Medicago truncatula: one gene and its partner. The protein of the gene in region 1 interacts with the protein of each later gene in a biochemical or structural test. Links are inferred from orthologs where the notes say so. Each region holds a gene or a part of one and is shown in the gene's direction. Other genes may lie near its edges. The genes, in order: B3 domain-containing transcription factor ABI3 and E3 ubiquitin-protein ligase AIP2.

Region 1 (17,342 bases):
AGACCATGTATCCTTCAAGCGTTTCTTAAGCTTGGCAGTTATCTCCAAGCTGAGGCAGATTGTACAAAAGCAATAAGTCTTGACAAAAAGAGTATGAAGGCGTACTTCCATACAGGTACAATTAGAGAGATGCTGGGCTACTACAAAGAAGCAATTGATGATTTTAAATATACCCCTGTACTTGAGCCAACCAACAAAAGGGCTGCTTGAGCTGCTGAAAGATTGAGGAATCTAATACTCAAGAAGAGTTGAAGGATTTGCAAGGATTTTGAGTTAGGAGGGAGATCAAGATCAAATTTTCCTATATTATGATAATTACTTTATTATGTTAGTTTTTAGATTGTACGAATATTATTGATATATTCATGGTTTTGTACGAAAATGATTTATGGATTGTACGAATATTATGATGATATATGTCAGTTTAATTAATTTTTGTCTTATTAAATTAAAACTTTATTTCATTAATTTATTTGTGTTTAATAAATTTTATTTCTTTAATTAAAATTAAAAAGTGGAAAGGAATAAAAAAAAAAGTGAGAAGTACATTATTGGCTGAAATTTCCGTCAGTAATGCAGTTCAATATAAATATTACTGGCGGAATAATCCCTCAGTAATGCTTTGTCAAAACTACCTCTCCATTACTGAGGGAAAATTCCGCCAGTAACATTACTGACGCTCATATTACTGAGGGATTCATATTCGCCAGTAATATGTACTACTGAGGGATTTTTGGCGTTACTGAGGGATTATTTCCGCCAGTAAAAACCAGATTTCTTGTAGTGCGCCTCCTTCTTCCAAGGACAATTTATTCCAAATTAATGAAAATGGAGAGGAATGTATTGAATTAAAGAGATATATTTGTATCCATATGATTATAAAAAAAACATTCGTTATCTTCTTCACAGCAACCAATTCATTCAGATTAATTTCTCAATTTCCAAAACAATTAAATCAATAACTCAGGTAATTGAAAAAATAGTTAATTATCCATGAAAACAATAGTTAATTAAAATACTCTTATTACGTTTTATTGTTTTATGATGTTGAAAAAATGAAAAACCTTTAAATTGAGATGCTGACAGATGTATAACCAAAACCTTTAATTTGAGGTGCTGCCAATTGCATAAAATAAAAAATCAAGAATTATCTTTGTTGGAGATATATAGAAATAATTTTGTTATTGAGATTATAGAAGAAGGATCAATAACCCGTAGAACTAGTTTGCTTAACGGAGAGATGAGGCTTTAGGGAAGAAGGTGAATGAGATTGATGAGAGAGAATAAAATAAATAGTCTTAAAAATGAGATATAAAATACTGAATGCCCACATTAAAATTTTGATGAATAATTATTGACCTTTAGATTAAGAGAAATTAACGCTTAAGATTTGGTGTCAACGAATCCTGTCTCATATATATATATATATATATATATATATATATATATGTTATTTTAGTTTATTAGTTATTCAACAACTTAATTTAGGTGTAAAGAATTTAAGAAAAAATTTAAGACCCTTTATTTTTGAAATAATTATTCCCTTAGTTTTAGTTGTTTTAATTATTCTTATTTAGTATATTTGATCAATTTGCTATGACTATATAATAGAATAACCTTCTACCTCTTTATATAACTTATTTTATTTTATTTTAGACAAATATACTAGTTAGATTTCTACTTAAGTGTTAATAGCACACTTTTTTTTTGCACATGTTTCATTTTATCATCCTTGTAACCACATCTTCTATTATTTTGTATTGTACGTGGTTATTTTTGTGCTGTCAATGCCTATTTTTACTCAAGTATATATTCTACTTATTTGACCATGAGTGTCCCCTTTTGTTGCTGAGTCAAAACACTACTCTCTTGTTAGTCACGTTGCTGTTGTTTACTTATTAGTATGCCTTCCTAAAGATAAGGAATCCACCTCCCATGGTTCAACTACCTCCTATAGTTATGCTATGAGTGGCTCAATTAAAATAAACTTAGTTTTCTTTTCTTTATTTTTCTGATTTTTGTTCAAGAGGGGCGGTTTTTCATATATCTAGCTATAATAATTTTCCTAGGGATAACATACAATTAGGAAGAGACCAATAACGTTTCCTACTATCTGCTACACAAACCACAAATACACACTTATCTCTCTAAAAGATCCTTATGATTCCAAACATTATTTATTCTTTATTTCTATTTAAAACCAAGACACCAATTTTCTTATTGTCACACGCCTTTGTCTTCTTCTGTGACAATTACACTAAATAAACCCATCCATTAACCCTGCCTTAATCAAAACAAACTTGTTCTCTTGGTAACTTCTTGTGAGCCACATTTCTCCCTACCATCTTCACAAGTCTACAAACATATTCTCCTACTCTTTACTCGGCCTACACATTTCATCCGAATTTTTTGTGTCCATTAATCCAATCATAACATTTCATCTTGTCTAATTTTGTGTAAGTTATTTTAAACATGTCCTTTTATTTTATTCTCTTCTCACTTTACTAAATTATTTCCAAATCATAAGCCTTTTTCTTTTTCCATAAGAGGTGGCCGTAGAATTTCAATTACTCCTTCGTTCACCATTCGTTCGGGCTAATTCTGGGAGTAAAAGAAATTGTGTCTGCATCGTAGCTGCAAGTTTGAGGCGGCTTAGAGTCGTGATTTAGAAAGAAAAATGCATGAGGTACGAACTTTTTTCCCATACGTCCATACTAAGTACTAGGATGATGTTATGAATTAGAGGTAGAGATTCTTGTCGGTTGAAAAGAAGACAAAAAAACTAAAATATGAATTTATATGGTAAAATTTAACCTTTTATAAAAGTTATTAGTTTAATTATATTTTATATGATGTGTGCATAAAATGTTATGTAGAATGACATTTATTTTATTTTGATATGCATATATGTTTTTTTTGTGGTATTGGGAAAGAAGTGTTGGATTTTGTTGATAAACTAAAGAAATGAAAATATAGTAATATGAGTTTTATGAAAATATTTCATTTTGGTTCATGTGGATGATGATGTGTTAATATCTGATTGTGTTTGCTTATGAGGTTGCCTTAGTGGCGGGTATTTTATTTGACTATGCATTTGCCTTAGTGGTGGGTTAATAATATATTTCTGTGTGGTGCCTTAGTGGCGGGAGAATATCATATTGCATTGTTGTGCCTAAGTGGCTGGATTTAGTCTTCATTGTTCATGATCATGCATTAGCATATGCATCTGTGTGGTGCCTGTGTGGCGAGTTATTTCTGTGTGGTGCCTGTGTGGCGGGTTATTTCCGGATCATGTAGAATCTAAAAGCATGCAATTTACACATAATTGCATTGCATTGGGTCTGTTATACATTTGTGTGTTGATAAGTGATTAAACTATTATAAAGCAAAAGAAATTGTGTGAACCTTATTTAAAGCATATAACTTGAATGTATTTTCCTTATTTCTTTTTAATTGAGAAGTTTTGATATATACTATCTATTTTATGACATTGTTTCTTGTGCTTTGAGTATGAACCAATTTGGATAAGGAAATTGACCCTTACACTAACATTTTAGGTACCAAAGAAGACATGTGTATGCTTTGGTGTTTTGCTTGAAGCGCGTGCGGGGAAGAAATTGGGTTTTAATTGAATTCTAATTTTAGTAATAATTTTGAAGGATATTTAGTTTGAGAAGTTTAATTAAATTATGTTAAGAATTTTGTATAGATTTTGCTAAGAATTATTATTAATGATAAAAAAAAAAAAAAATGGTAGTAATTTTCGAAAATGAGAATGATTTAGGCGTAATGTCTTGGATCAAAATCTGGGGCGTTACACATGTGTATCAACCTCTGATTAATCCTAAAAGTAACTAAAGGTCTTCGATGCGGTGATTGAACCATCAGTCAACACTGAGGCGATTACTTCTGCAAAAGAAGCTTCACTAAAGTTCGATATTGCTCAAAGCCTAAGTCAATGTGATTATTTGTTGTCACATTCTGTTAAGCCAACGAGTCATGACATCTTTAACACTATGATCAACTTGCTTGGGTCTAGGGCCTTTGATTTGGTCCACGATGATACATTCTTTGTTCGGTAAATTCTAAGATTTGATATTGTCTATTTTGGTCTTATTTTCATAGTAGTTTTCTGATTTTGTGTTCGGTAAAAGTCCTTGATTTCTTGACTAATCTTTGGTGGTTTTTGGTTTTGTTGGGTTTTGGCCTAGTCTATCCATGTGTATATCAGGTTCAGGTCCTTCATGACTTTGATTTTCTTGGGCCTCTATTAAACAAAAATTATGGGTCCATTTTAGTGCATATCCTCTAGACCAACTCTGATACATCGTAAACTTGTAACTTAATACAACTTCCATCCTTTAGCAATGCATCATTGAACATTTTCACGACCTTCCATACAAACCAGCACTAGCAAGCATAAATTGTTCCTAAAACTTAAATTAACATTAAAAATAAAGGTTTCTAAAACAACAAAAGACTTAGTGTATATTAAGGATAAAGTAGGTTTTGCTTTCACTCAAAGATCACATATAATGGGAGATATATGAATGTAATAAATGGTATATCATCCGCTTATCATGTACTTAATTTGGCGTTCTTAAACCATCAAGGGTTATGGGCTCACCGAAGACATTAGGGAGAAGTAACCGTTGAAGAGAGTTAGTGACCAAGATGTGGACTTGGCTATTTTGTTCACTATCTTAAAATCAAGTAATCAGTCACATTGGCTTCGTAGTTTGTAGTTACCAACAATTTGAAAAAGAAAATCTAACATGACCTAGTCGCTTTCTCTTTCTTTTATGGAATTCAAACCAACCAATTTGCCAAGTTCAAAATTCTTCTTTATATATATTTCTCCTAACATAATCTTAGTAGTCAAGTTTAAACAAGAAAATCCAGGTGGAGATAAACTTTTATAAATATTACTACATGCCGACACACTAGTACAAATGATAGATTTTGTCATCAATGAGTTTTTGTCTTTTTTTTGTTAATATAAAAAGGATAACAATGTTTATATTTTATAACTTAAAGATTAAATCAGAAGAAAAAAAAAAAGATAAGTGAGAAAAGTGTTATTGAAATTAAGTTAAGGGACAAATTATGTATTTTTGCTTTTTTTAGTAACCATCCAAGTGTTGTATAATATTTTAAAAATTTCAACGCTAAAGTTAAAATCGTGAGTTTATTTAATCGTGAATCTTTTGTAATCAATGATGTTTTTAATTTTGTCTTGGATATGATAGTTTTTTTTTTAAGAATTGTCAAGTACTGTTGATACGTTTTTGTTAGATAAATGAATTGATAAAATTCATTGGAAACTCATACATATAAGTGTAGAATTTGAAGTTCAAACCTCGATCACAACGTTTGACCTAGCAATTTGAAGAAAAAAAAAGCAATGAGATAAAATTTGGTAAAAAGAAGAAGAATGCATAGCGAACAAAAGTAAAGAGCATAAAACTAATTTGTGCTAATAGTGCATCACCATGAAACTAGGACAAAACTTGTGAAAAAGATGTAATCAATTATAACTTGCCAACAAAAAAAAAAATTGCATACCACTTTTGATTTTAAAATAATCAAATATGATACAATAGTGGAAGAATTGGAATTTAATCTTAATCGAATTAATACTATTTTTTTTTCTTCCTAAAGAGCAATCTTTTAGAGAGCTTTGAGATCTCTTATTATCTTGTACATTGCTCCATAGTGGAAGGGATAAATGAAATTGGATGGTTGTTGATTCCTCAAATGTGTTCTCAGTTAAATCGTTGTATATGGTCCTATGTGGTAAAATTCTTCCTCCTACCACTTTGAACACGACAAATAGGAGGGGGTTGAGAGGAATTCATACTGATTTTTTCCCACAAAAGATATAAAAAATTTCATGGCAATTAATTTTAAGGAGGCTTTCTACTCGCGGTAACTTAACTAAGATAAGGGTGTTGTTTGAATGAGAAGCATAGACTTGTGTGTTGTGCCCGCAGATCCTTGTGATAGTAGCATTGAATTGTAATCAATGATGTTTTTTGGTTTTACATGGACTAAAACTAAAATGAAGTAAATTTGCAGGGATCAAAACCATATTTTAGTCTGTTTTAATTTTGTTTTGGATATGATATAATTTTTTTTAAGAATTGTCAAGTATTGTTGACACTTTTTTTTGGATATGATATATATTTTTTTAAGAATTGTCAAGTATTGTTGACATTTTCTACGGTAGATAAACAAACCGATAATAGTCATTAGATATTCACACATATAAGTGTAGAATTTAAGGTTCAAACTTCGATCACGATATTCAACATAACAATTTCAGAATTTATTTATCTATTGAGTTAGGATTTGTCGATAAATATTGGTGATATTTAATTGAATCGTTCTTTCCACTAAATGATGTTTGATTATCATTTTTTGGTTTGGTTCATTTTATGGATGTGGTTTTTAGGCGCGTGAACTCCGCGCGTATGTTTCGGTCTCAGTATATTTGTTGATGTTTTTATTGATGAATTTGAAGGTATTCAGTTTTTCTTTTCTTTTTGACTTATCTTTTTTGTATTGTTGATATATTCTTGATATGTCTTGTGTTTTAAATAATTTTACTATGATGTTTTTTAGGCAAAGAATTAGAGTGCGAAAAATCACATGATAATAAAGAAATCTCAATTATCTTGGCACTAAAAAATCATACTTGTAAAAAAAATTAATAAAAACAAATTGGGGTCTTGGGTCAAAACTCAAATAGACAACAAGGGTGCATAAAAATATAATTTTATGCCTCGTTAAAAATCTTTAAGAAAAATAAATGAGATAAAACTTGATGAAGATAAGAAGAATGCAAAGCAAACAAAAGTAAAGAGCGTAAAATTGATTTGTGCTAATAATGTATCACCATGAAACTATGATAAAACTTGTGAGTGACGAAGATGTAATCAATCAATTACAGTTTGCCAACACACAAAAAAAATTGCATAGCTCTTTTGATTTTAAAATACTCAAATATGATATGATAAATTGAAGAGTTGTAATTAAATCTTAATGGAATTAAGAATTTTTTTTTGGCGTGAAGAGCAATCTTATAGAGGGCTTTGAGATCTCTTATTTTGCACATTGCTCCATATTAGTAGGGATAAATGAAATTGGGTGGTTGAATCTCAAATGTGTTCTCCATTAAATTGTTGTATGTGACCTATGTGGTAAAATTCTTCCTCCTACCGCTTTAAACATGACATATATGAGTCGGTTGAGAGGAATTCAGACTAGTTTTGCACCACAAAAGATACAAAAAAAAAATCTTAACAATTAATTTTAAGTATATGCTTTCTACTTGTGGTAACTTAACTAAGATAGGAGTGTTTTAAAATGAGTAACATCGACTTGTGTGGTGTCCGCGAATCCTAGTGTCGATACCCAAGTGATCATAGCTAAATATATGACAAGTTGAAATCGATCTATCAATCTGAACATAACAAACACACAAAAAAAACTCAGATTAAGCGGTAAAGTTTTAGAACTCGAGAGTTTACCTCAACTCATTTTCTTTAAGTAAACTCGACTCGAGAACTCGTATGAGTTTAGCTAAAATTAAAATTATGTAGAATTTATTATATGCATGACATATATAAGCTAATATAATATTGTAAATACGTCGATAGTGCAAAATATGACTTAATTACAAAGACAAGTTATACCAAACTACCATAATAAAACGTTATACTCAACTTAGCATCAAAATACAAAAATTAACGCACAAAATCATAAGTTTCATAAGTCTCTAAGTTTAAGTCATTCATAAAACTATCCAAAAAAGCAAGTTTCACAAGTTCCTAAAGTTGTTAATAAAACTATCTAAAAAAATAAACTAGTTAATTTTTTCAAAAGGTCAACAAACACCACCACTGCAATCCTAACCGGCGTCGAAATCTGAATTTCCATCGTCGGAATCACAACCCTAACTAGTATGTGCTTCCCTGTTCATGGTTTGAGGACTTAGAGAAGAAAGAAAAAGAAACGTTTCATCTCGGGAACAACGTGTTACTGTAAAGTTAACTATTCAGTAAACGCTTCAGTCTTTGTGCTTGTAGGATTGAAATTGGGTTTGGAAAAAATGGCCCAAAAAAAAAAGATCGATTTTTTGGTTAGATGTAAACTCGTAAATTTCGGTCGAGTTTACACGAGTTTACCGAGTGTTAACTCGATCAAACTCATCAAACCTTCTAATTTTACCAAAATTCGAGTTTACCTTCAAGTTAACACGATTTTGATATCTAAAAGTGTAAACTCGATAAACTCAAAGAGTTAACACTCAATTGCGGAACATTTCTAGGCTGCATTAAGTTGACAAAATTACACAAAAAAGAAAAATCTAATATGTTAATAACACATATTTAGATAAAAGAAAAACACATGCAAATGGATAATTCCAAATAAAAAAATGTGACAGTTGTAACAAATGATAGAAATAATACTTTTTTGGTAGAAACAAGTAAGACATTAATTTATTTAACAAAAAGAATACAAAATGAAAACATTAATCAAAGGTCACCTAAAAATTAAATTTTTCTTTGTGGAGCAGAAGACCTTACTTTCTAATAAAGACTGTGGCACCGTTTAGTACCACCACTGAGAATGTAACGAATGTCTATAGCACAAATTCCGGAGTAACCTCATTTGACAAAACTAGCGGCAAGAAATTTTGTTTTTTGATTCCAAAACCAAAACTACCTTTTCTCTCAAAAAACCACTTATTCTCTCTCTCTTACATAACCTTTTGTTTTTGTGTGTGTGTGAAACTACCTAAAAACCATTTTGAACTTATCTAAGAAAGAGAAAATAAAATCAATTAACAAAAGCAAAACAATTATGTAACTTCCTAGAACAAACCAGAATACACACATGGGTGGGTTTTTTTTTTCTCCAAAAAAGACTAAGTTTTCAATCAGTTTAAGCATGTGGGTTTTCTTTCTCTGAAAAATTTGATTGGTTTTCTGGGTTTGTGAACAAAGAATCTTAATCTTTTCTTTCTGCTTCACTCTGTTATTTGCTCTTTCTAAAGTTTTGATTTTAGTCCTTTCAATTTCTTCATCCAAGTTCTTTGTGTTCCTTTCAAAACCCTAGGTTGTTTGTGTATGATTGTTTATTTAGGATGATAATGACCCAAATGAGAATAAAAAATCAATAAAAAACCCACTTTTTGGAATAGTGAAAGTCGCTTTCTTTGAAGGTAAGAGAGGTTTTCATTATTAAATATATATTATATATATTATCCAAGTTGTTGATAATGATATCCTCTCTCTTGGTAAGTGTTTTTGTTGAGAATCAGATGTTTTCTGTTGCATAATCCATTCATAAGATTTGAAAGAATCTTATCTTCTTTTGCTTCCTTAAACAGATCTTTTCCTTTTGTACTTGACAAGTACATAAACAAAATTATCCATTTTTTTCTCTCTTTGTACTTTCTCTCTCCTCAAACAGTACCATATTTCTTGCACCATATCTGAAAAAAATTACACCAGAAGAATACTTGAACAAAAGGGTAATCAAACTTCAAAGTTTTTCAAGTTTGAGAGAAGTTTTTTAAAGATAAAGTTAGATCTTGTTATGGAGTGTGGTTTAGATCTGCATGCAAAGTTGGTGAATGAAACAGAACAAGTTGGTTTTGGAAATTTAGCAGAAGAAAATTGGCTTAATAATACTACAAATGATCAAGATGGTGATCTTTTAGGTATGAATATGAATGATGATGCATCTATGTTCTATGCTGATTTTCCTCCTTTACCTGATTTTCCATGCATGTCATCATCATCCTCATCTTCATCATCTTCAACACCATTGAAAACCATTGCATGTACTTCAACTACAACAACTACTACCTCTTCTTCTTCCTCAGCTTCTTCTTCATCTGCAGCTTCTTGGGCTGTTTTGAAATCAGATGTTGAAGTAGATCATCAAGGTTATCAAAAACATGGTCATCCATTAGATTATCATCATGGTCATCCTCCAACAACTTTGTCATCAACTGCTTCTATGGAGATTTCTCAACAACAGCAACAAGATCTTGGTGTTTCTAACAATGATGTTGTTGTTGGTGGTGGTGATTGCATGGATGATGTTAACATTATGGATACTTTTGGTTACATGGAGCTTTTAGAAGCTAATGAATTTTTTGACCCTGCTTCGATTTTTCAAAATGAAGATGAAAACCCTTTAGTGGATTTCACTCAAGAGCAACAAGTTCAAGTGCAAGACGGATATCAACAACATCAACAAGTTCCGATGATAGTGCATGATGATCGGGAAAATAAACCGCAACAAGTGAATATCGAGGAGAATAACGACGATGTTTTTGTGTGTGACGGTGTAAATGGGGAAGAGAGTATTCAAGGAGATGAATTAGGTGCATGTGATGGTGTAAGTGATGAAATGAGTATGGTTTTCTTGGAGTGGCTTAAATCGAACAAAGACAGTGTCTCCGCGAATGATTTGAGGAATGTGAAGCTTAAGAAATCAACGATTGAAAGTGCTGCTAGGAGATTAGGTGGTGGAAAAGAAGGGATGAAACAATTGTTGAAGCTCATTCTTGAATGGGTTCAAACTAGTCATCTTCATAACAAAAGACTCAAAGAAAACGCCAACACGAACACAATAATACCTTCAAATATTGTTCCTCAACAACATCATTTTCAAGATCCGTGTCAGAACCAAAACACAGCAAACACATTTGCACCTGAATCGAACGCATGTTTCAACCAAACATCATGGCTAGATCAAACACCTCTCATTGTACCTCCACAACAATTTTCACAACCAATGGTTGGAGTTGGAGTTGGATTTGTTGCTGATCCTTACACAAATGGTTCTGTTTCAAATAACATTAACCCTTACCAACCTGCTGTTACTAATGAATATCACATGTTGGAATCAAATCATTCATGGGGTGCTTCTCAATTCAATGTTGCACCAAACTACAATCAATCATTTGTGGAAAATAACAACAATGTGCTACAACCTCATGGTATGAATTTTGGAGGTTATGGAAATCAATATAATTCTTATCAGTTGTTTCCTGGTCCTGGTGATAGGTTGATGAGGTTAGGTCCTTCTGCTACAAAAGAAGCTAGAAAGAAGAGGATGGCTCGGCAACGGCGGTTTATGTCTCATCATAGGCATCATAATATTAACCATCATCAGAATATTCAAGGTTCTGATCCACTTGCGAGATTAGGTAGTGGTGATAGTTGCACCAATGTTGCTGCTGGTGGTTCTCATGCAAATCCAGCGAACTGGATGTATTGGCAGACTATGACCGGTGGGACAGCAGCCTCCTTGGCACCTGTTGTTCCGGCTGAGCCGACGCAGCCTCCAGTGGACCGTGACCGCCCCACCATGCAGACACAGAGTTCTCACCAGGGTCGAAGTGCATCCGATAGGAGACAGGTTTGTGGACTTCAGCTTTATATTATTGTTAGATTATATGTTTTGGTTGTTTATATGATCTACGATGTGTGATTATTAGAAATGCATGTAAATGCAAAATCATTTGTTATTGAACTTGAATAAGTTTTAAATTATGGTCAACAACCGTAATTGTGGCTGCAATATAATGGTTTTAAAGGTCTCTGCAACGGCGTAGCAACCACAGTTGTGGTGGTATTTATCCATTTGTCTGCAGATACCGCAATATAATGGTTTGCAACATTATTGTAGCTTATGCAGATATCGCAATACAATGGTTTGCAACATTACTATAACTTCAACTAACAGCCATTATCCGATCACTCAATTATAACTGTCAAATTATAAAAAATGTGCGACTTTAAACACAACTATCTTGCTTTATGAATAATGTGTTTGATGTATTTGATTGATAGGGTTGGAAGCCAGAAAAGAACTTGAGGTTCCTTCTACAAAAGGTTTTGAAGCAAAGTGATGTCGGAAGTCTGGGGAGAATTGTTTTGCCAAAAGTAATTATTGATTTTCTATTTTTCAATTATTCATTACATTTTATGAGAAAATAAAATATTGATTCATAGTTTATTGCAAAAACATCAGAAAGAGGCAGAAACACATTTGCCAGAATTGGAGGCAAGAGATGGAATTTCGATTACAATGGAAGACATTGGAACTTCTCGAGTTTGGAATATGCGTTATAGGTAAGCAAATTTTCATGGACAAATTTAACTTCATCATTTTGTTTTTTATGTTTATAAATTATGATGATGATACATTGGGACTAAAATTTTATCTTTTGATTATTTCTTCTTGGAGCATCAGATATTGGCCTAACAACAAAAGCAGGATGTATTTGCTGGAGAACACCGGTGAGTTATTCTTCTTATTCATCTTTGGTGCTTTGTTTGTTTTTGTTTATTTTTCATAATGTATTCATTTTCATTTTGTAGGTGATTTTGTGAAAGCTAATGGACTCCAAGAAGGAGATTTCATAGTGATATATTCTGATGTGAAGTGTGGCAAATTTGTAAGAGCCTTCTCTTATAATGTTTTCTTTTACTTAATGTTCATGGATTTGGATTTCCTAGTTCCCGGCGTAATTGAATCGAGATCAAACCAAAGTTTTAAAAAACCAGACTAAACTCATCCCGTTCAACTCATTGAATTGTGAATCCTCGGGTTAAACCGTGGTTGGTTCAAACCGATTTTCATATTTTACATTCTTTTTAATATTCTTCACATTTTTTTATTTAACATTTTTCATCTCGTTCAACCGCTGTTGAATCATTTGAACCAATTAACCATGCTCGAGGTCTCACCAAAACTCGAGTCGTTTGTTCTCAATCCAACCGTCTAAAATACAACAGTAAACTTTATTATGAGATATATTTTTCTTTTAAAATTAAAAAGTTGAGAATTAATTGGTGGGAATATAATTTGTGATACAGATGATAAGGGGAGTTAAAGTGAGGCAACAAGGAACAAAACCAGAGGCAAAAAAAGCAGGAAAATCACAGAAAAACCAGCATGGGAATAATGCTGCAAATTTAGCTGGAACTGCAGTGGATAATAATGGCACGCCATCTTCACCAAAGAGAAAAAAATGAAAAAGATATCAATTAATTAATATATATGTAAGATATAGTAAGATGCATAATAATATATATTTAAATATAGTAGAGTAGAGTCAATAAAAGAGACTTTGAGCTGAACATGCAAAGCTTATAAGGATCTGTAGTATTATTTGTTTGGAATTCATTTGCAAATTGTTGTGTGAAAATGATGTATGTGGATATGTGTATTTAAACTTTGTAAGGGTTGTACTTGAGCTGTCTCCATTTGTAACTTTGATTTTGAAGTTCATAGAAAATCATGGTGCAGATGAAACAATAAAGAATATTTTCGTGTATTGATCTTGAGATTTTTTTATATATAAAATTGTTAACAAATTGCATATTTTATTAATTTGTCGAGAGAAAAATCTTATAATTTATTTTTGAGTAATTCTGTAGGCAATTGTAAAAGATACCTTACAATAGATGTAAGAATTTTATATATATTAGTGGACACTTCCGATCATTTTATTGGGTTAATGTGTATAAATTATGAATATTAGTTTTTATATAAACAAATCACACATCTTTTTTCAATAAAGTAATCTGTAAAAAATTCATATCCAAAAAAATTTATAACAAAATGATGAAATTTTAAAATGACATTTTAAGATAAGTTAAATAAGTTTATATTCGAACAAAATTTTTATTTGAAACCCTTTCTAAAAAATTATAGTAAAAAACTATAAAAATCTATTTTTAAAAAACTATTAAAAAACAAGTCCTATGTACTAATTAAATTAAGAAGATCAAACACTCTAAATTTCTAAAAATGTTATTCTAAATATTTCATCATAACATTATAATTTTATTTGAATCATAAATTTTTTAAAAATCTTTAAAATGGTTCCTTTTTCTTCCATTTTCCGTTTACACATAAATTGTCATTTGCAATATTATAGAAAAAGCATAAAATAAAAGCACCAGTTGAATAAATTGTGTCGTGAATTTGAATAAAATCGCACCAATGCTATGCTGAGTGTAGGAAAAATTGTAGCAACCAATCACCAAAGTGAATTAATGAACATCACTTACTAAGTTCGATTCAATTTGACCTATACATATGTGGAAAATAGCAGTTCTTCAATTTATTATCAACGAGTTTCATATAAATAGATACATAAATTTAAGAGAAATTAGGCTTCAAAAACCTTAATTCATTAAAATAAAACTCAATATCCAGCCTAAGGACCGACTAATCTGAATTGTATGATCTCATAATTCCCTTGCGAGGACAACATTTAAAGCCATCAAAATTGACATAGGGAGAAATCAAACACGAGACCTTAAGAAGTGCATACTCCAAGGTTCCAAACCAACACCATTAGGCTAACCCTATTGAGGTTCTACCATTTTCTGGCCTTCCCTTGAACAAATGACACTATGATTTCATTCATCAAGGTGTTCATAATGCTTCCCAACCCTAGACTATAATCCAAAAGTACTCAATTCTCAGCTTTTGATCTTCTTAAAATTCTCTCTTTTGATCAACTCTAGTTTGACTCACTTTCATCTCTCTCTAAGACCGGAGAAACACCTCATATATAAGCATTTCAAACTTGGCGAACAAGAAAGCTGAAGCAGTCTATTGTTGTGAATTGTTCCTCTTATTGTCGTTGATTGTTCTTATTTGAATGAGATTTAACTAATTTTTAATTGATAAATGAAAAATTGTTTAAATGAATGGGTAAAAGTGAAAAGAAAAAATTCAACCTAAAAAGTGTATTACCTTTATATATCGATACGAAGATGAAAAAAATAATAAAATTGTTTAAATGTAAGGGTAAAATTAAAAAGCAAAAGTTTAATCTAAAAAGATGTATTTTAGTATTTCATTTAATATTTGTTTATTTTTTTGTCCACTTAATATTTGTTGTAATACCGCAAAAAAGACAATCATAAGTTGAAGAAGGTTGCATGTAGCAAGAAATAATAATGATAAACAGATAGAAAAGTCATATTTTTTAATAGAAAAAAATTAGGATATCAAAAAGGTGTATAACGTGTACGTGACGTAAAGAAGTAGAGTATTGTTGGATTGTTGATGTCGACAAGGTAATGAAGGAGCCGTATATGTAAGTACAATCCTCAGTCATACATATACTATTTGACTTCGTCTATTTTATTTATATAACAAACAAGGGAATGGAAGGGAAGATCAATATCATCCATTACGTTTCCCACATCATTTTATCTATAACTATAGTCTATATATCAAAAGAATATGAGATAATTTGGACTATATTTTTAAATAATTTTTATGTTTTATCCACATGATCAAATTTCTATTCTTCCTTTCTACACACTAAATTTTCTGCTTATGAAGATTGACTTTGCTTCTTTAACAATAAAAAACCATCCTAGGTTATAGTTATTTCTTTCAGCATGTTGAAATAAGATAACATATTACTTTTGTTACTCTAAATACTTTATACCGTATGATAAAAGCGATAAAAAAAAATGTGTCTTATAGGTACTTCTTACATCTTATAGTTCAATTCCTCTTCATTCAATACATCATTTTCCTTATTCTCTTTTGAAGATTTATGGTCTTCCACCTCTTGTTTAGCCTACAGACAAGAAAAAATCTTTTCATAAACAGAAAGGATCATAAACAACATATAAATAAAACATATATGTGTATGCCACACCTTTTTTTTTCTTCTGTTTTTTCTTCTTGGACTTCTTTTGAGATGATTGCTTAAACTCATAGGTATTAGAGTTTTGTCTACACAGTCTATTGGATACCAAAATTCAACAATCACATGAATACTTACGATAAAGAAACAGAAAACGGCAAATCATTAAGTAAATCGTATATTGTACCTGAATAGATCATCGATGACATATAATTGAAACACCGCACAACCCATCTTTCTCAGACGCATTTCATCATCATTTAGAATATGTGTATCGAACTCCTCTCTTATCATTATAGGTTTGTACTTTAAATGAGAAGCGTTCTTAAGTACGATCAGGGTATTAGTATTTAAAAAAATAACTTTATTAGTATTTAAAAAAATACTTACGATCAACATATAAACAAAAGAAGATGAATCTATCTGAATAGACTCAAATGAAATAGTTGGTATTAGTATTAGTAATTCTTTTATATAAAAAAATAACTTTATTTAAAAACCTACCCGGAAAATGTGTTCGATCAGGGTGACGGGGGTGAATTGTCGCGATTGTCAAAAGTGTATCAATATTAAATGTTGGATTGTTGTGCGGTTGAGCTTGTAAAGAAAAACCCAATGACTTTTCCTGCTGCAAAACTTGCATAACCCTGCATTAGCATATCAATTTTAATTACTCATGTTACTTAAATATCTTTACGACTATCTATTCACTTTTTAATATATAAAATAGAAAATTATGAACGCTTCATATACCATCTATATTCTCCGACTTCAACGAGTAACGATGGTAGGTTTGAAAGAGAAGTCGGGGGCTTGATTGAGAATATTATTTTCTTATATAATTCTGTCACGTCCTTATCAGATTCAATCACATTCAAATCTTCCACAATATTCCGAATTGTATGGCGAATTCTAGACTTGGACCTGCGCACTGAGATGAGAGAGAGAGAGGAAAATAAGTATGAGTATTTTCAGTAGGATCTTGTTGCTACACTTAATCCATCTAAAGACAAGCTTACCACTTTCTTCCTCCTCCTCCATCTTTCTTTGGAAAAATTGTGTGAAACAAACACTACATGTATTAATGAAACAAAATTGTGTGAACCGGTTTGCAGTACTTTGGCGTATTGGTACACCAAAATTTGTGAAGAAATTCACCGAAACAAGCGTAACAAGAGTACCGGAGAGAAATAAGGAAGGGCTATGTTGCAGTGTATGTTGGAGAGAAAATGACACCGTTTGTATCCCAATATCATACTTGAAAACAGGCATCTAGAGAATTTGTTTCCTATTGATTAAGCATCAAAAAGTTCTATTAACCATAACATAACAAGCGTCTGAAGCACAATTAACCTAAATCCTAATTTGATCAAACCTCTAATTAAGAATTATAAACTTAACCTAAACAAGCTATAAATCAATTGAGTAAACTATCAATAAAATTGCACAAAACGAAATTATATATGATCAATTGCGTCATAAGATAAACCGAATTGCACAAGAATTAACAAGAAATAAACCACAAAACGAAAAATGACATTAAAATAGAACCTCAAGAATCCACACAAATTACCTCCTTCAATGGATTGATCAACAGAATTAAGCTTCCATAAGTAGCTTTTGCACAAAAACG
Region 2 (16,697 bases), on another chromosome or scaffold:
ATGAGTTGAGAAATGTTAAAGAGTTTATTAGTATCTGGATACACTTGTTATTAACTATTAGTTTTTAAACAATTTCTTATATTAGTTGAAAATAGCTTTTTACATCTCAATTTTTCACAAGATACTGTAAGCTTGTTAGACTGCATTACATGGACTGCATTGCATGTAAACGACTGTACACTTATTGATATGGAAAAACTTAAGGAATTACAAGCCAATTCAAATGAGATAGTTACATATAATAATTTATTGAATAAGCACTTAAACAATCACTATTTGCTATTAAGTTAGGTTGTGTGGTTGTATTGACATGTTTGGTTGCTATCTATCTAGGACATCAAATCAGCAGATTGGTCTCCCTTTGTTGCTCCATTTTGGCCAGCAGTGATACGTTCAGCATTAACATGGAAGGGTTTCACCTCAATCTTGCGGAGTGGTAAGCTCAACATTTTATATTGCATTTACAAACAGCCCCTTTGTTTAAAATCATAAGTCTTATTAAACAATCTCCATCCTCTATTGAGTGTCACATTAGCAAAAGAAAAACGTCTCAAAATAAGTGTCGCTTTACATTTTTTTCCCTAAACCACATATGCTTTTGTTGAGGGTGGAGATCGAATCCTCAACCTACTCCTCTCCTAAACACTCCCACCCAATCACCAAGCCAACCTTATATCTCCATGTTGCGTTACGTGTTTGATGTAACATTAATTATTTTCAGTTCTGTTCCAAAATTAATGTTATATACTCCGGTATGCATTTAGGATAATGGTCAACAGTTAATGGTTCATATGAATACATTTGTAAAATTGTTATACTCTTTCTCTTATATATACCTTTTCTGAATATGTGCGAAATAATCTCAAGTGACGCTCAATATGTGACCGTGGGAGTACATAAATTGATAATGATCTTGTTGGATGAAACGACTTAATGGGAATTATGTCATTTTTGTTGTTGTGTGCAGGACTAAAAACTATAAAAGGAGCTTTGGCTATGCCATTGATGATAGAAGGATTTAGGAAGGGTGTGATTAAGTTTGCCATTATCACATGTCGAAAGCCTGAAAACGCAGATGGTCAATGATTTTATATGATGAAACAGAATTCCTACATGTCATTTATTTTGATAGTTCACACAAAACAAATAAGAAATAAAGAATACGTGTTTCTGCCATGTCAGATCCAACTGTGATTGAATAATTGAAGGAAAGATGTAAGCTAGTTCCTGTTGTGTAGCCTCCAATCGAAATGTCAGTTCAATTTTCCTTTGTTCAATATTGCTTTTGTTTTTTTAATCATGTTATTGCTGCAAATTATTAATTGACTTTGTCGTTGACTAATCTCTGTGGGAGAGCTTGATCGGCCACCTTTAACGGGATCTCCCATTCTAACACATTTTTTCCATCCATATAAGAATGTCAGCAAACTTATTTTACTATCAAGGTCATACATTAGTAAGAGTTTTTCTTTTTGGTTCCATAAGTTGTTTTGAATACACATAACACATGTCCTAGTCATATAAATAGTTTGTACACATTGTGCCCTGGTTGTACACATTGTGACCTAGACAGTAAAACAAGTTTTACTGAGATTCTTATATGGGAATTTAAAGACCATTTTTTGATTGCATAGACATCTAAATATGTAAATGGTCACTTTACCACAGATATCAATTGTACCACATTGGAGGAAATTCTAATGTGGACCGATAATCAGCATCTTCAATGTTGTATGCATATTTTTTATGAATACGGAGTACAGATTTAATATTTTTTGTAGACCTGGAGGAGTATGATGTGACGGCCATTGAGCAATAACATGTTCTTAGCCATTGTGGATGGATTGTGGGGTCCGTGTAAAGTAAATTAAGAACAAAGCTAGTGTTTGGTTTCACATCCATTCACCGCCCGGCGTCCACCGGCTTTCTATTGTGAAAGACAAGAAGCTACAGAGTATAAACTCAAGTTAATTGCACGTCCGATGAGTTTTTGTTGCGAAAACAAACACGGTAAAAATTGAGTTTGGTGAAAAGATGATTTTTTTATTTTATTTTTTAAATCCTATGTGGCACTTTTGGGTCCAGAAGAAATAGTTACGAATCTAACTTGTGTTGCAGCATTGGAAATGCTTTTACAGTTTATTTGGAGCTCCAATGGTGTGGCATACACCACCTTCCGAAAGTCAAAACTCAATCATTATCTTCCTCATGAATGAGACTTAATCGGTGTTAGTTGAGAAAAATAAGAAAATATAAATATATATGTTCTCAACTCAAATCATATTGTTTTTTCTTGAATCGATATTGATTAGGTCACCATCTCAATCATAAAAATAAATAGTATTGGACATTTCTACTTCCGAAAAACATCGTCAATCATCATTAGAATTTGTATTAATTTGTTGGTATCAATCAACCATATATGACTATCAAAGTAATCCACAGTAAAACCCCACACGCGACATGACATTGCCACATTGGTAATAGTTGTCTGTTTGATTCCACATTTAGATTTGCAATTTTACGTTCCAAGACCAATATCACTGTGAACTTGAGAACCTATAAATTGGATTGTTTGGTGGACGTTGGATGTGAACACAACTTTCCAATTTTCCAAAAACACAATAAATTTTGTTTTGATTCTCTTTTTTTTCTTTCAAGAATTTAGTTTTGATTCTTAAATGAGTGTAAAGAGCATTGTTGATTGCATAAACATCTAAAAAAGTAAACGATCACTTTACCAAAGATATATTTTCAAGTGAGGGTTGGAGGCTTTGTCAACTTGTTTAGGCCCTTTATTATCCAGATTCCACAAATGAAGTTCATTAAACCCTTCTTTTCTATAGCATTAAGATGAAAACGTGAAACCTTAAAGAACCAAAAAAGCAAAACCAATTTATTAAACAAATAAGCCTGCATTAGCCTAATGACTTTTGTGTTTGCAAGCTAGCTTCTAGTTGAAGTGAAAACACACACACACACACACACACGAGGAACAAGAAAAGAAGAACAAAAAAAAAGATCAAAATAAACGGCCATTACTTTTCCATATTTTCCTCCACAAATCTAGTGTTAAGAATACTTGTCTTGTGAATGGGGTTTGAGGAGCATTGACTTTGTAATAAAAGAAGACAAAGATTCCATAACGAGGAGCCAAAAGTGGTTGCTTCTTACTTTTGCTTGGGAAGGGTCAGCTGCAACACTAGTCACATTGCAAAACCCAACACTTTACCTTTGACAATTTAACCTCGTGATTCCACTTTCTCTTTCTTTTATGCAACATCAAATTATTAATTTAATGTTTTTTTGTTTCTGTGCTTTCTGTACTTTTTCATTTTTTCAACCCGAATCCTAAGCTTCTCTAGATTGTCTTCTAACAAGAGTCAACTACTTATTGGCTTATAGTAGTGGATTTTATTTATCCAAATTTATTGTAAAATTTTATATTCATTTTAGTTTTGATAATTTTAATATAAGGAATCACACCCATTTTAATATTTGTAAAAAAAACATACATGTTTTTTTAAATTTATTTTCTATTTTTACTTTTGACTATAAGTTATTACTTTTTTCCAATCTATTATTTTATTTTTGCAAACATTATATGTGAAAATAGTGAATTTTCATTTTCAACACTTAGCATTCTATTCTTTTAGAAAAAATTAAAATGAAAACAAAGTAAATATTTGGTAATTAAAAAAATAAAAAACCATTTTAAAACTAAATTGATATTTTTTCTTGATTCATATTGATAAATATTTTGTCACAATTTTCACATTTAATTAAAAAGATATATCTACATATGAAGGGGAATATCAAGTTTTGGTGTTCCTTAAAAAAAAAAAAAAATTGGTGTATTTGTTTCTTCCAATTTTATTCTTTATCTAAAAAGTCTTATTTACAATTTTATCCAATCAAATAATTTAATTTTTTAAAATATTTACGCAAAATATCTTCACCTATATATAAAATTTTGATGTAACAATTTATTTTCAAATTTTATTATTTATTTAAACGATTCTATTCAATTTTTAATCCTTTTTACCGTCCTGAATTTGGAAAACAATACATAAATCAAAATAAGTATAAGGTTTTTAGTTTTGTAATTAAAAATTAAATAGAAAATAAAACAAAATATTTTCTAAAATTAAATTGACCAATTTGTTTTGTACCAAAGAATAATGTTATAAAATACCGTCCAAAATAAAATAAAAAACAAAAAATCGACGTAAGAAAATCCGTTGACATAGAGATATAGATATGATCCGAATCTATCCAATGTAACACCAACATTAAGCCACTCCACTCGTGTGTGTTGCTTTGTTTGTGCGTGTGTTTGTGTCTTTGTGAGTATCAAAGTGTCAACAATCCATTGTTGTTAAACAAATATTATTATTATTCTTATTATAAAAGTGATCCCTACGAACCTTCCTCCCTCTCTCTTTGTGTTGTGGACAAATTCACTTTCCCTTTTTCACTTTTTTTGGATTTCATTCATTTTAAACACCTAATCCATACCTCCATTTTCATTCATTCATTCATTCTCTCTTCTGTCTCAGTCTGTGTGTTTTACACTCTCACCTTGCACTTGCACTTGCACCTGCTCAAACACCTTCAGGTACTTTTTTGTTCTTACTTTCATTCATAATCTTGTTCTTGTTCTTGTTCTTGTATTATATCATCATTATTGTAAACCCTTTTGAATATGTGTTTTTTTAGTTAGTATTTTTACTATTATTATTTACAATTTTTAGTTTGAGGGTTTGTACTAAAAAGGGTGAAATTTTGTTTACTGTTTGCAATTGAGGTCTCAAGGTTAATCTTTGCTTGTGAACTTTGATGAATAGCTTCTTAAGCTAAGAGGGTTTATTGAAAGTTATATAAAGTCTTGAAATTTTTATGGTGAAATTAAAAGGGATTGTTGAATGAAGGGGAAAGTTTTGAACTTTTTCCTGTTTACCCTTTTTTATGATATGTTAATGTGTTCATTTGAAAGTTATTATTCTTATCAATTGGTTTTGAAAAATTGATTTTTTTGTTGTTAACATCTTACTTCTTCTGTTGCTGCAGTTGTTTGCTCTAAATTTGTGATCAATGGAGCATAGATTGAAAAGAAAGTCTCCAGAGAATGGATTCAACAGTTTTTCACTGGATGATCTGAATGAAGATGTCTTTGAAAAGGTACTTTCGTGGTTACCGACTTCCAGTTTCTTTCGCCTTACTTCGGTGTGCAAGAGATGGAAATCAGCTGCTGATTCTGCGAGTTTCAAGCTTGCTTGCTCACACATCCCCACAAGGGATCCTTGGTTTTTCATGGTTGCTCCCGATCTCAACCAATCTGTAATTTTTGACTTGGCTGAAAACAGTTGGAAAAGACTCAATCATCCGAATCTTCTGCTCGAAGATTCCAACAAAAGTTGCATTCCTGTTGCAGCTTCTAATGGCCTGGTTTGCTACCGAACATCGTCGGGAAACTTCATTGTGTCCAATCCTGTGACCGGATCTTCTACCGAACTCCCTCCATTGAATTTCACCTCAGAAAATCAATCTCTCAATGCTGTTGTTATGAGTACAACATCTTTCAATGGCCAAATATCCTACAAGATTGTATTAGTCTTCGGTGAACTTCCCAATCTTTCATTTAAAGTCTATAACTCAAGCTCTGCCTGTTGGGAAGACGAGAATGCTCTTGGGAGGAAGGTCGATGATAGTTCAGCGGATTGTGATTCAACCGATGACAATGTTGTGTACTTTCTGAGCAAGGCTGGAAATGTGGTAGCAAGTAGCATGCAGAGAAGTCCAACCAAGCAATATTCGTCGGTCATTACTAACCAAGACGGTCAAGAGGTAGTCTATTTTTTGAGTTCGTCTGGGACCGTTGTAGCTTGCAATTTGACCTGCACGTGTTTCTTTGAGTACCCTAGGCTATTGCCAGTTTTTTGCGAGTACTCTATCGATATTGTGGAGTGTAATGGTGAGATGATAGTTGTTTTGTTATCGGAATTCTTGGAAACTACAAGTCTTAGGGTGTGGAGATTCGATGAGACCAACCGATGCTGGCAACAGATTGCAGCAATGCCAGCAGCAATGTCTCATGAATGGTACGGAAAGAAGCCGGATATCAATTGTGTTGGTGCCGGTTCTCGGATTTTTATATGCTTGAACTCTCCTGAGCTATGTACTTATGTTCTGTGTGATTTGGTAACCAACAACTGGGTTGAATTGCCAAAATGTCACATTAATGGAGAAGTCATGGAGTTTATGTCGGCATTTTCTTTCGAGCCGAGGATAGAAGCTTCTGTTTGAGAGTGAAATGCCCTAGTTGGATATCTTGGTTTTATTTATCAACCATTTTTTATGTTCTGTTGTTAGCTTGCATTTTATTTTGATTTGTGCTTAATTTTTTTTTTCTTCATGCAACATAGCTAGATATGGAAGCTAACCAAATGATTTGATTGTTGACAGATTATATTGTAATTTTCTTAATTGATTGTCAGATGTAACATTGTTCTCATTTAGTGGTATTATCAATGAATGATCTTGTTCATGATTCTTTTTCATTGTTTGATATTTAGTTCTCCACAAATAGAGGAGACATCAATATGGCTTTTCTGGAAGAAAATTTACATAGTTTATTGTTTTATATATTGAAGGTATAATTAATTTTTTAGTCCCTATAAATATTCACAGTTTTGTTTTTATTCCCTACAAAATAAAATCACACTTTTTAGTTCCAGTGAAAGATGATATCAAAATTACCTTTTTCTTTTTGTTATGAACTCTGAGAACACCAGTGCCTGAACCTCATCTCATTTATGATTGATTGTTTAAAATTTAAATTTTTAAGGATAAAAGTGACACTAATTTGTTGAGTCTTCTATGTAGATTTTCAAGCTAACTAAGATGTGATCTTACCTTCTTTTTTGCAATAGAAGCAATTCCTAATTTTTTATTTGATGCTATTGTGTAACCACTCACCATTGTAACATTGATATGCGATTTTTTATTTTTTTTATTTTTTATATATAATCATTTTTAATGTTTATTACAAGTGAAATGGAAGATAAAAGTAACAATGAAAAAACTTTGTTAAATTTAATTATATTTACAAAAATTGAAATCAAAATACCCATTGATATATATTAAAATTCAAAATATTCAAAATAATTTTTTGACACTAGTAAATCACTTTAGGCTTAATTGCAATTTTGGTGCCCTATTTTCATGATTTTGCGAAATTGGTCCCCACCATTGTAAAATTCAACAATTTTGGCCCCTCTATCAAATATTGTGATATGATATTTTTTAAATGGAGTTTTAAAGAGAATTTTGTTACAATTTTATCGATGTTGATTTTTTTTCATCTTCAGATCATATTCCACGACCTTTAAAATTTATCACATCAAATTTTTATAGTTCAAAAATATGATTTAGGGATCAAAACTGTCAAAATTTAAAATAGAGTGAACAAAACTGTATTTAAGTCATCACTTTATTTCATTAATAATGATCAACTACTCAATGTATGATGGAATATCAATAGAAAAATTGAAGGACAGCCAGATGATATATGAAAACTAAAACAGTCCTTCATGAAACTATATCGCAACTTTTTTCTTCGAAATGTACCACATCAGAGTTTTTAACATAAATAAAAATTTTCTAAAATACTAAAATAATATTTTATCCATCGTCATCTTTAAAAAAATTGTCTTCCAAACATCATACAATATAAACAAATTGCTCAATACCTTTAATATTTGACTTGCGTTGTGTTGTTGAGCATTTCCCTTTAGTTTTAATACTAGATCAAAAGCATTATGGGAGAAATCAAACATTCATCATCAATAACGTGGTATTGTAAAAAATTCATCAATGACGTGGCAAAAAATGATTGGATAACCTACTCAAAGAACGGTAGGAACATATGTAGACGATCATTCCCTTCAGTTTCCCCTTGCCGAAGAAAATCAATTCCCAAACCAAATATATAAAACATCACAAAATCATAGAAGAAGAAGAAGAAGAAGAAAAAGGGTTTCTCAATTTCCAAAATCTGAGTGAAAAATCATTGCAAGAACAGAAACAAAATGGAATCAGAAAATTTGGTGAAACAAGAATTGGAGGAATTGCAGAAACAATTGGGGAAGAAGCAGAAATTCGAAGACGCTGTGTCATCTCTCAAATCTCTGCTCCAAACCACGTATCCATTAGCTTCCACCTCTCTTCGAAAATCGGTATACTCCTTTGATTTCAATTCTTCATTAATATTCAAAAAAATTGTGGTTTAATTCTATATAACTAGTTGCTGGTGTGTACTTGTCAATTTAATTTCTGGGTTTTGTTTATTTTTCTGTGTTTGTTTAAGTTTGGTAAAAAAGAACTGATTTTTAATTTGTTTGGATTGATCTATAGTTTATACTGTTATATAATTGGATGTATTATGAAGAGTTAGCACACATGGTTAACGATACTTGTGGATATTTCCAACGTCGAGCGGCTAATTGAGTAGCTAGCTTGGTGTGAAACTGTTTACAGTTATGAAGCTTGGATACATACATGGACTCCTGTGATAATTTTAGGAAATTATAGTAATTGAATGTAACAATTGAGTCGCTGGGACGGGATGAAACAGTTTTATGCGTACGAAGAACTGACAGATACATGACGTTGGACATTGATAGTTTGACACCAGTAATAAGAAAATGGTAGTAATTGAAATTAAACAATTTGTCGTGACTCATTGGACAAAAAAATTGTGTCATGGTATGTCAGGTTCAAAAACCGACACGCAGCAGCGAAGCTTCTTGGAATATGGAGGTGCTGAAAGTTTTTTTATACATATATAATAAAATGCTAATATACATTAATGATTTATAAGTAGTAATGTCTTATGTGCGGGTTTGATCCCTGGATTTCGTGTTTTTGCAACTCATCTATTTTTTCCATAAAGTCTCCAAATGCTAAATATCATACTCAAATCTAGTATTTCTATATAAAACAGAGGTGCTATACTGCTCAGCGCTGACCAACATCAATTTGATATCAATTTTGCTATAAATATTATTAGGGTCTCGTTAACGAGTGCCCGCGGGGCACTCTTTAAGCATTCTAATTCAAGAAATTATCCACTAAAAAAAGTCAATTGTTTCAATTTCCAATGCATTCAATACAATGATTCTCATAAAAATTTAATATTTAAAGGTCTTAAAGAGTGCCCCGGGGGCACTCATAACATCTCCCATATTATTATTATTATTATATGTATGTATGTTTATGGCCCCTTCATAAATTTGTGCCATGCTCCGCCATTGCTAACATGTGTCGACTACTGGACACGCTTTCAATCCAAAGTGATGGTGCTACATGGGCAGTAACTTGCTGGTTATATCTGCTAACGCAGCCTCGGCATGCTATCGGATGCCCTGTCGATAAGTCTTGGGATTGAGGTTTCCTCCCTTTGCTCTCATTTTCAACATATAAAGGAAATTAAACAATTTGATATTGATATATGTATGTATTTATCTCTGTATATACATGTATGTTGTTAAGGCTAATGATGAGGTCAACTGATAAGTTAGAATAGCACTGCTGGGAATTTTTTTAGTTTCGTTCCTGCTAATGATCTTTCATTGTTAGGTCATTCATAAGTGCTCTTGTTAGGGGTACTTTGAATAGGTTAATGTTATTGTTTGATGGATAATTAAAGGCCAATAAATTGACTGTGGTGTTATTGGTGGTGGCAGTTTTATTCTGTTATATGCCGAGTTGCGACAGTGTTGAAGACGAGATATACAGCACCCGGTTTTTGGAGTGCTGGCCTGAGCCTTTTTGAGCAGGCTATATTGTTTGTTTCTGAACCCTCTGAAAAGGAGCACTTGAAGGCTTGCATTGCTCAGGCCAGGGAACATTTGCATCTAGAAGACAACCCTTCACAAACTTCGCAACCTGCAGTAAATCGTGAAAATAGAGGTGATTTTCTTTTTGAAGAGTTTTTTTTTTCTTTTTTCTTGATGTGTAATTTATAGCTTTTTCATGTTGATGAGTTTTGGGATATGGATGTTTTTAGATAGTTTGCTTTAACCTTCCCGTGTTTATCGCGTTGTGTTGATTCAGGATATCTTTTTGAGGGGCACCTTACGGTAGATCAAGAGCCACCACAACCTGAATGGATGGTGCAGGCAAATCTCTTGAATGAAGCTGTTCGACTATTTGAAGCTCAACCCTCTCAGGGTTTAGCAACAAATGACACCACGCCAGAGGATGTTGCTAGTGTGCTTGAAATGCTTAGAAATAGATTGGAAGAAGTTGTGCCCCTGGTATTTATCCAAAAACTTTTCATGTATTTTGGCCACACCTTATTTGCTTTCATTCTTTCTCTTAAATATCAACCTGGCTTTGAATATCTCTAGATTCAGTTTCTGTAACTTCAAGAAGTTTGTGGCTTAAGCATTGTTTAAAACAGTAACAAACCAGCTATCCTAGGTTCAATTGAGAACTTCAACAAATTATGTATGCTCAACTTAGAACTTGAGCATATACATAGTTGACTTCAGAATAGCATTTCTTGAGGTTCTATTAAACAAACTAAGCTACTTTAGAATGGTTCAATAGGATAATTTTTCACAACTACATGAATCAACGCAAACAGCCTGCTTAACAACATAGTTTCTTATGCATAATGTTCCTTGTTCGGTGGCTTTAGTGGATATAATTGATAATTTGATTGCGATGCACCTTTTTTTTTAATAAGCAAAAGATAATGATACATTCTTTTATGGGTGATTAGATATAAACAACCTGCTCAGCTCACTCATTTTGTTAACTACTATATCACATTTTGCTCGTTTCAACTTGCCTTTTGATTAATATATACTCATTTTTGTCTCATTTAATTGTTAAACTTTACACTGTTTAATTATAAGGCTGACTTTTTTTCTTCTTCTTCTTCTTCTTTTTTTTTTTTTTTTATAAAAATAATTGATTAGATGGAGACTGGTGGTCCTGCAGCTCCAAGAGTTCCTCCTGCGAGTAAAGAAGTTGTCTCAAAACTTCCTGTCATTACTCTCACCGAAGAGATCCTGTCTAAGATGGGGAAAGATGCAGAGTGTGCCATTTGCAGGGAAAATTTGGTGTTAAATGACCAAATGCAAGAGTTACCGTGCAAGCACACATTCCACCCTCCATGTTTAAAGCCATGGCTGGTATTGTTTCGTAGTCCACTTATTTACTGAAAGTTCTGTTTTTCCCTTTTAAAACCAATTTTTTGCATTTGATACTAAAGAGACGGAAGAAATTACATGATCAGATATGAAATTTGTTTAATTTTATCCCTCATGTGGCAGGATGAGCACAATTCTTGTCCTATCTGTCGTTATGAGCTGCAAACTGATGATCATGCCTATGAGAGCTGGAAGGAACGTGAAAAGGAAGCGGAAGAGGAGAGGAAAGGTGCTGCAAATGCTCTTCGAGGCGGTGAATTCATGTATGTTTAGACGGCTATTCAATGCAATTACGATGTATACTATGGTTTACCCTGAAATAAGGGATTAAAAATTTCCTGGTGGTGAATAGTTGTGTATTCTTCATTATTTGAAATTATATAGTTATCTCGTCTCATGTTTTAAGTGTGACTGCTATTCCTTGAAATTTAATATCTCGCTTTATAGTTTTTCTGAACAATGATTGTCTACAAATACAGTCCTCCAAACAATGTTGGGATCATTGATTCATGAGTTCAATTTTATCCCATATTCTTTTCCAAACATATGTTGAAGAGGTTGAGCTATAAGGAATATGTTGAAGAGGTTGAGCTATAAGGATAATGTGTTTATTTACTGAAAATTGAGCAAAAGCTCTTACAATATGAAAATAGAAGATAAATTGTAGAAAGAAAGTGATTCCCAAATACTCCAGAGTAAAACGCCTCACAGAAAGAGTAGAGAACACTCTCTTTCTTTGCCTAACCATAATGGTTTCCACAATAACCTTGCATACAATTTTGGTGACATTAAATTTTGGGTTGATGACTTTGTCTCTATCTTTTTTTTTGGTGGTGGCCGAGTTTGAACCCCCGGACCTTGCATATATTATGCATTGTCCATACCAACTGAGCTAAGTTCACGAGAACTTTGTCTCTATCTCTCTTCTCATTAAAAGAATTTATTTTAATTGTCATCTATCATTCTCTCCTGTTAAAATACACTAAAGTCACTACATGTCACAAGTATTTTCCTTACAACTCACTCACCTCACTATTTATACTACTGGGCATAACAAACTTGCAACCTAACATCCTAACCCACCCTTTATTACATATAAGAGCATCTTCATAAAAAGTTTTTAAATGGATCTTGTTTGCACACGTCATTTATTTACAATTTTTTAATAAAAGATTCAATGACTTTAATGGTAGTAAATTAAAAAATCCTTAAATATTTACTTTAATATGTACATTTAGAAAACAAACAAAAAGAAATTGAAGAGACTAAAAGTTACATAAATTTGAAATGACGGAACCAACTTTTATTTATTTTCTTTCCTATTTTAATCCCGTTAATTGTTAAAGAGAAATAGGATCCTTTATATAAATGATGGTAACTAATAGATATCCATTAGAGGTCCTTTAATAAGATGAAGTCCTTATTGTATAAATAACTCATAATTGGAGATACTTGAACCTCACCATACTTTTTATTACTTTCTCTTTTAAAAAATAATTGATCTTTTTGCAACAAAAATTTATCTCCAAATAATAAACATTTTCAAATTTAAACACAACATTAATTACTTTTTTTTTTCTTCCAATTGTACATTTTAATTAATATTGCTTGCATCGCTCACAATCTAAATTTAATATCTTGTACTTTACGTTTACGATAAATACATCAAGTATCACTTTTTTATTAATACATATTTTTTTGACTGTTGCTTTTCTGACATCCTGTCTTGGAAACATAAGTAAATGACCAAAAAATCCAGCGGTAGTTAACTGCTACCGGTTTTTTAGTTATAAATAAGCGATAGTTAAAAAAGCAATTGTCTATTTTTTTTATATAGGTGAAGTGGTGAACGATGGATCTCAATTTTTTTAATACTAATAGCCCTTCTTTTCCTTATCCCTCTTACTCGGGTCTCTATCAATTCGTTAGAGCATTTGCACATTTTAACGTACACAGTTTCAGTAGGGAAGACCATGAGTTGTAGATCCTATGATACCTAAAAAATTATATGCAGAAATCAGAATTGCAGATAAAGAGAATCTCCTACTAAATTTAATACAGGCAGGTACTAAGATTTACTACTACTCACTGACTCTACCCTATACGGCTATACCTGCACTGTATTTATCATTGTACATCAAATTAAAAATTTATTAACTAAATCTAAAATTTGTATTTTATAAGACTTATTTGTAACTTACACGAGTCTTTTTTTATTTTATTCTGACAGTATATTGCACTCTCTCTATCCTACAATCAATGGTTCATTCGTAGAAGAAAAAATTTCTGAAAATAACATCAGAGGTTTTTCCCTTTTAAATAAATCCTACAATATCAAATTATATTTGAAAACTACATCAACTTTTTATTTTCATTGATCAAGCCTCTAAAAGAACTTCAAATAGATCACACCCTTCCCATTTTTTATAACCTAGATTGCATGTTGTCAAATAATCGACACATTTACGCAGTTTTGTACATCTGTGATTGTTGGACCAAAATTCAACCGTTTAGATTTTTTCAAGCTTGATATTTTCATTGCAATTTGAACAATTCAATCTCGATCCAACGGTCATAAATATTCGCCACTGCGTGGATGTGTCAAAAATTTTGACTGGAAGCAATCTGATTTCAATTTCTATTTTTTGTTGGCTATGAATCTATGATGAGCATGACATGCATGGAAACCATTTTTAAGCATAAACACCAAAACTTTCATTAAAACAATCTACAATAATGTGGTTAAATATAACAAATAATGTGAATCTATATCAAGAAAACAATATATCAAACTTGTAATGATCAACGGTATGTATAACTGTTTATTGTACTAAACAACATTCTTCAATTCATCCTTTCACAAACAAGCAATTTCAAAATGATTAGATTCCACTACAAGTCTCAAACCAAGCAATTCTAGCAGCGCTAAAAACACTGACCTCACACAACCAAGTATTTATCACCTCAAAAATGAATATTTTTAGGTATAAAGCATCAACCTGAAAAAATAGAAGTCAATATATAACCCAGCTACATTCTAGCTTGGTACTAAAAAAATGACAAATACAAGTTCTCACTCAGTTTAATATACACCAGCGCCTCTGGCTAACGAATTGAAGGTGCCAAAACAGCCCCCAATCGTCATATGATAAAATTGCCAGAGAGTAGAGCATTCTCGAAAACCAAAGTCAAGAAACCTCCCATAACAAATCTATTCAACATTACCAAGTGATGGGCATGAAGATCAGAGAATTGACTTCAACTGTGAACCAGTATGAGCCTCAGATCCTAATAATACACCGTCTTTTTAACTGCTCGACCTTACCCTACTCCACCTATTTGCAGATCTTTGTGAACTTTGCGGCGACTCGCGAGGCTCAGAGAATCTGTCATTTCTGGGCTCAGAGAATCTATCATTTCTGGGTGCATATCTTTGTGAATTTTGATTCCACTCACGAGGCTCTGAATATCTATTGTTTCGAGTTGGTGCAGATCTTGGTGAATTCTGAGTCCACTCACGAGGCTCTGAGAATCTATCGCTTCTAGGTGCAGATCCCATTCCATCATTCCTGCCACCTCTTCTATTATCTCTCCTCATATAATGATTGTTAGGTCTGTTTTCCCCATTTTCCCCAACAGTTGACTTTTTTTCTTCTTGCTCAGCTTCATAGGCCAATGGTTGGATCCCCTGAAGATCAGGTTCTGGGATATACCCAGCAGGTCGCTTGGATTCATCCATTCTTCTAAATGTGATTGATATCCTAGCAAAAGTTTCAACAAAAGAACACAAGTCAATAACCATTTTTAAAAAAAAAAAAATTGGAAGAGGGAAAATTATTATTAATTGAAGTAACACTGACGGCCATTTTAACACTGAACACACACGTAAATCAATAACTTGTCATTGGTGTTAAAAGCCGAAAAAGGGAATATCATGCTATCATATCAGTAAATACCTTTTTGTAGGAACTGCAGGTACACAATGCTTAGCAACATCAGCTCCATTTCCATTTAAAACAAGTACAGATCTGTAGAGGGAAAAAATGATTATAAGATTTGGAATCGTCAATAACAATGGAAAATTGGTAAATAATTTAATCCAAATCGATCCGACACCGTGTAGCAACAGTTAAAAAACTAAAAAGACATAGTAGTAGATAAATCAAGATTGAATACTTACCCTACAGGTAGAGGAATAGCAAACGAACCATCAAATTTACCAGGACCTGCAATCCTCAGGTTTGACCCAAAAAGTATGTCGCACTCACTTAGAAATGAGACAGTACAAAATGGTCGAACAAAATCGTGATTATCAATGTGTGGAGGTATGCAGTCCCCTTCTTCATACACATTCACGATACAGCTATCTGGCACACAAGTAGTTGGAAGTACATGCCACTTGACTAGGCGTCGAATGATGACCTTGAAAAGATCAGGTAAAGGATCTATGGATGCATGGTGGAGAATACCCGGTGGGTTACCATCCTTATCCTGTAACCAGAAAGTTAATTTTAGAAGTTATACATCCATTTATGAAGCTCATCAACCATAATAGTTTGCCGCAAACGATAGCTAAGTTTAATTCTTTCCAAAGAAAGAAATGTGAAGACATAACGTGAGAGATAGACTAACCACTGCATAATTGTAACAGCACCCAAATTGGATAGTTTGGCGTCCCTTGCCCGGCATCCACTTTCTAGGAGCTGAGTATGTCCGGTCTGAAAAAGTTAAGAATCAACACCCATATAGAGTCAGTATAGCCAATTAGGGGAAAAACATTTATATTTTGTTTTCGGTATCTTATGGTGTGAAGTTTGCATATAAAAGTTACAGACAAAGTGCAATGAATTTAAAGATGGGCCCAACCATGCTTATTCCAAAATGATAAGATTCTTCCACTATTTCCAAACCCGTTGGCCTCACTAAGTTTTGGGCAACGCTCAAAACTCTGGAAATATATGAAAGTTACTTCTATATAAATTTGGTATCTCCATGGCCAGTAGTCAAAGAGAAAGGGTCAGAGCATGTGGCTGATTGAGGCCCGTTGAAGTGTTTTTGAGCGGGACAAGGTATTGCACACCTTTAGCAACTTCCTAACTGTTAGAAACCCAAAAAAGTATAGCTACCTAAGTTGATAAGTAAGTTGCTGAAGGTGTAGAGTTAGTTGAGTGTTAAAATAAATAACTAGTTGTCAACCATTGTTACTCTTGATAGCAAGCAGCTCAAGGTTAAGTAAATTGAAGGTTTTTATTATGAACAATAAGCTTGAGTAGTTAAGTTACAAGGCACTTGACTACTTTTTCATTGCAATCGTTAAATTACATATCGAGGTACAAGTACACATTTGGCAGCCATCTTAACAATTTAAATTTCCATCTCACAGTTAAATTATCAATACAGTCTTTACAGAAAAAGAAATCAAGACGATTCAAAACATGAATCGGCACTATAAAAAGAACCAAAGATAGACATTTG

The links.
Region 2: the proteins of B3 domain-containing transcription factor ABI3 (region 1) and E3 ubiquitin-protein ligase AIP2 form a complex in vitro, tested with the Arabidopsis thaliana proteins (2 studies listed by BioGRID, with this or other methods). The link is inferred for Medicago truncatula from reciprocal best matches to the Arabidopsis thaliana genes ABI3 and AIP2.

What each region holds. Positions count from the first base shown.
Region 1 is NC_053048.1:27,917,161-27,934,502, reverse strand, and holds B3 domain-containing transcription factor ABI3, read left to right. Parts: upstream 1-9,264; 5' UTR 9,265-9,606; coding exon 9,607-11,442; intron 11,443-11,876; coding exon 11,877-11,969; intron 11,970-12,057; coding exon 12,058-12,158; intron 12,159-12,273; coding exon 12,274-12,326; intron 12,327-12,407; coding exon 12,408-12,484; intron 12,485-12,905; coding exon 12,906-13,064; 3' UTR 13,065-13,370; downstream 13,371-17,342. UniProt on the Arabidopsis thaliana protein: Participates in abscisic acid-regulated gene expression during seed development. Regulates the transcription of SGR1 and SGR2 that are involved in leaf and embryo degreening.
Region 2 is NC_053042.1:3,565,900-3,582,596, forward strand, and holds E3 ubiquitin-protein ligase AIP2, read left to right. Parts: upstream 1-7,959; 5' UTR 7,960-8,090; coding exon 8,091-8,237; intron 8,238-9,746; coding exon 9,747-9,972; intron 9,973-10,116; coding exon 10,117-10,319; intron 10,320-10,988; coding exon 10,989-11,204; intron 11,205-11,345; coding exon 11,346-11,495; 3' UTR 11,496-11,682; downstream 11,683-16,697. Other genes in the region: tocopherol O-methyltransferase, chloroplastic, read left to right, coding at 334-436, 968-1,086; F-box only protein 13, read left to right, coding at 5,095-6,306; RNA demethylase ALKBH9B, read right to left, coding at 14,530-14,983, 15,179-15,250, 15,403-15,713, 15,855-15,940. UniProt on the Arabidopsis thaliana protein: E3 ubiquitin-protein ligase that acts as a negative regulator of abscisic acid (ABA) signaling. Mediates ubiquitination and subsequent proteasomal degradation of the transcription factor ABI3.